2 linked regions of the Mus musculus genome follow. The protein of the gene in region 2 purifies or fractionates together with the protein of the main gene of each other region. This does not show direct contact. Links are inferred from orthologs where the notes say so. Each region holds a gene or a part of one and is shown on either strand. Other genes may lie near its edges.

Region 1 (3,816 bases), on a different chromosome or scaffold from region 2:
TGGATATATGCTCTAGCAGTGGCTGGGGATACAATTATGAGTAAAACAGTCTCACTCTTTCTCCAAGGCTCTTAAGCTCTTGTGGGACATACAGGAAATAATCAGATGCACTAAGATCTTGGAAGGAGGAAATGGGAGAGTATATGACTCTATGGATATGGAGGAATATGGTATCCAAACCAGTCTAGAGCTGGAGTGCTAGCTTCCAGACAGAAGGGGCACTGAGTCAGGGACCACAGAGAGATGACAAGGAAGGAGAGGACCTCCTCATGCAAAGGGAACAGCATGAGCGATGGCTTGGGGGACATGGATGCAGTTCAGCTGGTGGAGCACTGGCCTCACACACACAAAGGCAGGGTCTGGTCAGCACCATCATATAGACCAGGTGAAGGGGCTCAGATACATACTTGAAAGGTAAAGGCAAGAGAATCAGAAGTTCAAGGTCATGCTGTCAGCCTCACAGTGAGTTCAAGTCCAGCCCCAGCCCCATGAGACTGCTTCAAAACAAAAAAAACCACCCTTGTCCAAACCAAAGAGCAACACTTTCTGCATGGGTATGGGACATGCACTGTGCAGTGAGCTGACATGGAGGCAAGCAGACCAGAGGGAGAATGATTCCAGGGCTAGTGAAAAGACAGCAGTGGTGGGACCTGTGGTGGGAACGGAAAGGGACAAACACAGTGGGAGACAGTCAAAGCCAGGACATTCATTAGAATGAGGGCAGGAGAAATGATGCCTCCTAACTGTTAATACATAACCAATTTCGGGATTGCCAGGGCTCAATACAGACTGTGGTGGTTTGAATACGCTTGGCCCATGGGAAGTGGTACTACTAGGCAGTGTGGACTCGGAGGAAGTGTGTCGCTGTATAGGTGGGCTTTGAGGGTGTCTAGTGCTCAAGCTCCACTCAATGTGGAAGGAGTCCCCTCCTGGCTGCCTTTGGATCAAGATGTGGAACTCTCAGCTCCTCCAGCATCATGTCTACTTGGATGCTGCCATGCTTCCTGTCATGATGATAACAGACTAAACCTCTGAAATGGTAAGCCAGCCCCAATGAAATGGTTGCCTTTATAAGAGTTTCCATGGTAATTGTGTCTTTTCACAGCAATGGGAACCCTAAGACACAGACTCTTCTCCAAACAAGGATGCTAAAGGTCAGCTGAGATCGGAGGGACAAATATATTCTTCTCTTTAAGAGGAAAACTCTGTTGTCTGGTCTGAGTCGGTATTATTATTTGTGGTAGTTTAAATATGCTTGGCCCAGGGAGTGGCATTATTAGGAGGTGTGGCCTTGGTAGAGGAGGTGTGGCCTTGGTGGAGGAGGTGTGGCCTTGGTGGAGGAGGTGTGTCACTGTGGGGCTAGGCTTTGAGACCCTCCTCCTAGCTGCCTGAGGACAAGTCTGCTCCTGACTTCCCTTGGATGAAGATGTAGAATTCTCAGCTCCTCTAGTGCCATGCCTGCCTGGATGCTGCTGTGCTTCCTGCCTTGATAATGGACTGAAACACTGAAGCTGTAAGCCAGCCCCAATTAAATGTCATCCTTTAGAAGAGTTGCCTTGGTCACAGCTATAAAACCCAAACTAAGACATTTTATTGCTGTTGTTGTTCTTATTGTTATTATGGTTCAGAGTCATTACTATTGTTGTTGTTGTTCAGGGTCTATGTTTTCCTGGCCTGGAACTTGTTATATAGACCAGGCTAGCTTCAAACTCCCAGGGGCTATCATGCAAGAATTCACAAGAACTGTACCACGATACCCAGTAGGGCTGGTGTTCTTAGGAATGCTCTACAGCACTGATCTTACCCAAGTCCATGGTGTGTACATCTGAGAAACTTTGGTTTGGATTTGCTCCCCCGACAATGAAGATCTTCCCGCTCTCGGCATCACCAACTGGGGGGAAATATGAGCAGCTGTGGCCAACTCGAGGGCAGGGCCTGTCTCCAGGGCAAGTCAAAGTGTACCTGCCAAAGGGAAGGCATGCTCAGGAGGCCGTGCGAGAATGTTCTTCCATTCCTCACAAAGGATGAAAGGCCTGGCACACATACTCACGCTTTAGGATATAATTACTATCATATGTGAGCAAGTGCCTGTGTTCAAGTGTGGGCTTCAGTGCTTTCTAGATGGGAGGCATTAGGGTAGTCACCTCACCTATTCGAACCTCAGTTTTCTCTACTCTAAAGCCAGGGTTACTATAGTTCTCACCTTCAAAGGGGGGTGTGATGACTCAGACAGAGCCTGGGAGGGTGCGGGGATAGATAGGGCACTATCGAATTCACAGGGACACCCTGGCCAACAGCCAACGATGTCTCCCTCCAGAATACACGGATTAAGCCTCATAATTGTAAAAAATCCACTAAAAGACTTCCCAGGCTTGGATCCTCCATCAAATCTAGGAACTTACGTCTAGGATTCAGACTACAGTACAGGGCCAGAACATTCACCGCTACATTTATTTTGATGGTTAGTGGGGGGGGGGGGGGGGAAGTATTCCAAACTTTCTGATTGGAAAGAAACAAAAAATTAGTTTCTGACAGTGTCTCTTACAGTCTAGGGTGGCCTTAGATTTCCAGGTAGCCCAGGATGACCTTAAATCCCTGATAGTCCTGCCCCTATCTCCCAAGTGTGGGGCTATAGGTGTGGGCCAGGGCACACAGTGAACATGGATATATCCTGACTCCAGCTCCTGTCTTGCTTGACCTCTCTGATGTTGGTGCTCCTGAACGTCCCACTTTCCTTCACCTTTTCCAGAACCTAGATTCTCCGCACCTCTTCCTCCGGGTGTGTACTTCCCTCTGACAGCTGTTTCCTTTCCTCTCTGACGTGTCTCCCACCAGCCCCCTCAGAACTGTCAGTATCCTAGGAATCCCTTTCCCTCTGCCTTTTTGCTTTTCTGATTCATCTGTCCTGGTGGTTTCTATGGACACCCATCTCCATCCCTATCAGTGATTACAGGATCTCTCATTCTTGTCCGGATCTGTCCTGCATGTGGATTTGTGTTCATGAATACCCCTTCTTTGTTTTCACAGTCAAAGAAAAGTTTTAACATAAAAGTTCTTTCTGTCTTTATTGTTTTCTGGAGAGCATCTTACTCCATCATCCAGGCTAGCCTTGGATTCTCAGCAATCCACCTGAATACTTGATAGTCCGTCTCAAAACAAAACAAAGCTAATCTTGGTGGCCATGCCTGTGATCCCAGCACTTGGGAGGCTAGGAAACGAGGATTGCTCAAAATTCGGAGCCAACCTGGGCTACATGAGAATCTGTCTCAACAACAAATCAAACAGCAAAATAAATAAATAAAGACATCTGAAGTTGGATGGACAGGTACATACAGGATATGCAGGGCCTCGTTTAAGGTTCCTGCTTTGTCGTATTGTTCAGGGAGAGGGATGGAACTATTCATACTAAGCAGAGCTCTATAACCAAGCTACATTGCCAGTTCTCTATTGGGTTTTACCCCGGAGCATGTCTCCAGAGCACGTGTGATGGCTCTGGAGCAAGGTAATTGTGGGAAGTGGGCATGGAGGCTCAGTTGGAGTCAGTGGGACCTTGTCCACCCTTCTGGGATCCCCTCAGTGCAGGTCACACTCCATCACTTGCTCTGCCTCTAGCTTCAATACATAGGGACCATTTGCCTTAGGGCTTCGGAGCTTTTACAGTCTCATCACTGTTAGTCGCTATGAGTTGCTGAATGAAGGGTTTAACAAAAGCCAAATAATCCAAATTCCCTAAAGTCTCAGCTTAGAGGAGGACCTGAGGGATGGAGCTGAGGATGCCAGATGGCCAGTGCTTTATTCTTCCTGGTAAACAGATTT
Region 2 (3,615 bases):
CTGCCTCATGTTCCATGGAGTATGAGGTCTATGTATGACTCCTGAGTGCTGACTCCTGGGATTAAATGTGTGCACCATCGCACCCAGCTCCTTAAGTGCAGTTTTCCTCTGTGGTCTTAAGGCCTCTGGGAGCTTTAGTTCAGAAACCTGTTCCTGAACCATGTGGGCCTAGCAGGAGCTAGAATTTAGACTAGGTTTTGCAAAGAGCAAGGGAAGGGAGGGGCTTGCAGGGGTCTAAAGTGTATCCCAACTCTGTTCACCAGGCAGGACTCTGACTCTCAAAGCCGACATTGTGTCAGGATAAAAACATATTACCAGAAGTGGGAAAGAACAATTTCCAAGTGTGCAGAGCTTCACCCCTGCATTTGTGAGTCGGAGGCTTTCAGGTTTCCTGATGGGATCAATCTGAACTGAAACGGGTAAGCAAGAGGAGATTAGGCATGGGTGTGTGGACAGAGGACAAGAGGGAAAATTTGTCCCCTCATCTGTCACATCCATCACCTTCAGCGTCTCAGTCTGCTTACATAGGGCAGGGCAGGGCATGGGGACAGATGTGGCCTGGAACAGAAGAGGAGCTGGGGAACATAGGATGAGGAGAGCTAATGACAGTCAACTGAAGCTCACTGATGCTTTATTTTCCAGACACTTGAACAAGACCTTGTGACCTACATCCTTAACCTACGGCCTGCCAATTTTTAAGACTGCTATTCCTCCAGCACTCCCTCACTCTCGGGCATGCCCAGCTAAGGGATGACCTGCTGCTTGCTTGAAAGCTGCTCCAGAAACTGGACTTCTCTTGGGAAGAGTAAAGAAGCCTCCAGAAAAGACTTGACCTTCCTTAAGAACTTCCCAAACTAGAGATGGGTCAGGGGAGGGCGCTCCGCTGAGTGGATGGATGGCCCGGAGCCAGCCAGGCAGTTTTATTGAAATATTTTTAAATACTTTGCACGTGTTAGTCCTGTGTGTCAGCAATGCTGTGTCTAGTTCGGTGATCCCAATGGGACAGTGAACCCAGGGGTCGGCTAGGAGGTGCTCTGTCCATTGAGACCATGCTGAGGCTCCCCTATACGGGGAGAAGAGCTAGTCAGCCCATCTGGGGCTGGCATTGTCCAGCAAGTGCACTGTCCTTACAGGGTATCCCGAAGGCCAAGGTTGGAAGCCTGAGCTCACAGGCCTCACTGCTAAGAGCGTGCCCCAGGCAGCTGCAGGCTGGGTGTGGGTGGCTTGGCATGATGCCCTCGGTGGCAGAGAAGACTGCCCGCCTCACAGTTCAAGTTGCGGTAGCGGGCAACAGCTGGGGTAGGGCGGGGGCACATGGATAGAAAGCCAAAGCTGAACGGGCCAAGGCAGCAGCCAGGGCAGGGCAGCCCCTCCTCCGGCTCCCGGGGAGCTGATGGGGGCGGTGAGGGCTCTGTCCGCTCCAGGGCTGCTGCCCGGGGAAGGCTATGCTGTGCCCGGTTCCAGGGCTCCCTAGCCCACCCTTGTGGGGAATTCACCACCACAGCAGGGGGATTATTGTTGAGGGGAGGTCCTGATCTAGGAGACCAGGGCTGCGAGGCTGAGGAACAAGTACTGATGAAGTTGTCAGTGGCCACAGCCAGAGGCAGCTGGGGAGCCAGGCCTGGGGGCTCTGGCTCAGGGCTGCTGCCCTCGCAGTCCATCCTCTCCTCAGTCGGGCCCATGGGGGAAGGGCCAGGACCTGGCAGTGCAGTCTCCATCCGTCGGGGAAGCTCAGGGGATGAAGGTAGTGAGCGACAGCGGCGGACAGGGGTCTCAGGCTGGACCAGGATGTCTGGAGTGGTCACTAAGGGCAGCTGGGTAGAGGTAAGTGGTGATGGTGGAACCAGGGGCAGTGGAGTGGCCGGCTTGCAGGGTGTGTCCAGCAGCTTGATCTTGCCACCCCTGAGGTCTTCCCGCAGTGAGAAGGGGTTGACTCGTGTTAGATTGTCCCCCCAGCTGGGGGGTGATTCTGGCGAAGGTGGCAGGAAGAGGTCTGACCGGCTTCGGGAGAGCCGGGGGTCTGGCCTGGGAAGTGTGGCAGAGGGACCTCCTCTTGGAACAGACCCTGTAGAAAGAGAGGTCTCATCACTGTTCCCAGCATCTGCTCCAAGCTGAGGCCCTGAATCTCCAGGCAGGTGGTGGGACAAGAGCTTAAGAAAGGAAGTCCTACAGGGGCTCTGGAAGGGACAGTTGTTATTTCCAGCTACCTTGTTTACTAAAAAAAAAAAAAAAGTATTCATGTGTCTGTATGAACACGTGTGTGAACTATGAACCACAGGACACTAAAGTTATCATGGAGGTCGGAGGTCAGAGGACATCTTTCAGGAGTCAGTTTTCTGCTTCCATGATGTAGAGCCTAGAAGTCCTTATACAAATGCCTGAACCCGTCGATCCATCTCACCAGCCCCTCCTTTCCGCTTTTCTACCTACTTTTTCTTTCCTCCTTCTGCTGCCTTGGGCTCTAGCAATGAAAACCATCTTCTGTGAGATGCCTCTCCATCCCACCTGACTTCCCACCTTTTTACCTCAGAGATCCAATTAGCCTCCTCCAGAGAACTGACTCTCAGGAGAGGCAGGACTTCTGCTGAGGTCAAGGTCATGCTCACTCACCCTGATTGTATGTCAAGGGAGCCTTGGTGAGGGGTGGCTTGGCGAGGGGCGTGGCCTCAGGCTGCTGCTCCAGGATCTGTTCCAGGTGCTGGGTGATTTCAGTAAAAGGGGCCCGGGTGCTGGGTTCCATCTGATGGATAAAGACAGGGCAGCTTCGCTCAGGGCTCATGAAGACAGTGAGTTTCCACCATTCTCTCCCCGGTTTTAGAAGACAACTCAGGGATGTGGTCAGGGAAGGGGTGACACTTACGCTGCAGCAGTGGATGGCCAGAAGCAGGAAAGGTAGCGGACAGTCATTTCCCACCAAAGTTCGGAAAGCAGGCACATCCAGGCCAAAGTCCTGTGGGGACAGAGGAGGGGCTGCCAGTTAGCCTTCAGTGGGCTCTCCATGTGCCCCACTGTGAGGCTCAAGCTCCACAAAGCCCTTCTTGGTTGAGGCACCCAGAGCAGAGGTTACCTCACCTCAGTGCGGGGTAGGTAGTCAGGGTCTGCAGGCACTCGGGCGATGAGCTCACAGAGGACGATCCCGAAGGCGAAGACATCGGCCTGGAGGTAGGTGGACCATGCCAAGGGGGAGGAGTCAGTGTTTATCTTATGTTGGAAGGGTGGCAGTGAGGGGTAAGGGAGAAGGCTGGGGGTTCCCAAATCTATATAGGAGGGTTGTTGAATGGGGCTCTATCTCAAGGTCTCTTACCTTCTCATCATACAGCTCTCCCCGCAACACCTCTGGAGCCATCCAGTACGGGGAGCCCACCACAGCCAAGGGCTCCTTCCTTGTCCCTTCCCTGCAGAGGCAGGGTGGTCACATCTCCAGTTCAGACATCTCCCCCAAACTAAAGGGGATGGGGCAAGCCTCCTCTCCATCCACAGAGAATACCCCTGGGGGGTTCACTCATGTATAGGGCACCCCTGGGAGGCTTGGGGTAAGAAGGGTGTTCACCTTACCTATACACAGGAATCTTCTCAGCCAGTCCGAAGTCACCCACAACAGCTGTGAAGCCTCGG

Evidence for each region.
Region 1: the proteins of Tesk1 (region 2) and Rabepk purify together in Homo sapiens (affinity purification with mass spectrometry; 3 studies listed by BioGRID and IntAct, with this or other methods). This does not show direct contact. The link is inferred for Mus musculus from reciprocal best matches to the Homo sapiens genes TESK1 and RABEPK.

Annotation. Positions count from the first base shown.
Region 1 is NC_000068.7:34,793,368-34,797,183, forward strand, and holds part of Rabepk (rab9 effector protein with kelch motifs), read right to left. Parts: intron 1,963-3,816; coding exon 1,805-1,962; intron 1-1,804. UniProt on the Homo sapiens protein: Rab9 effector required for endosome to trans-Golgi network (TGN) transport.
Region 2 is NC_000070.6:43,445,064-43,448,678, reverse strand, and holds the end of Tesk1 (dual specificity testis-specific protein kinase 1), read right to left. Parts: coding exon 3,556-3,615; intron 3,396-3,555; coding exon 3,305-3,395; intron 3,157-3,304; coding exon 3,073-3,156; intron 2,951-3,072; coding exon 2,861-2,950; intron 2,741-2,860; coding exon 2,611-2,740; intron 2,066-2,610; coding exon 1,182-2,065; 3' UTR 604-1,181; downstream 1-603. Other genes in the region: B-cell differentiation antigen CD72, read left to right, coding at 264-414. UniProt on the Homo sapiens protein: Dual specificity protein kinase activity catalyzing autophosphorylation and phosphorylation of exogenous substrates on both serine/threonine and tyrosine residues.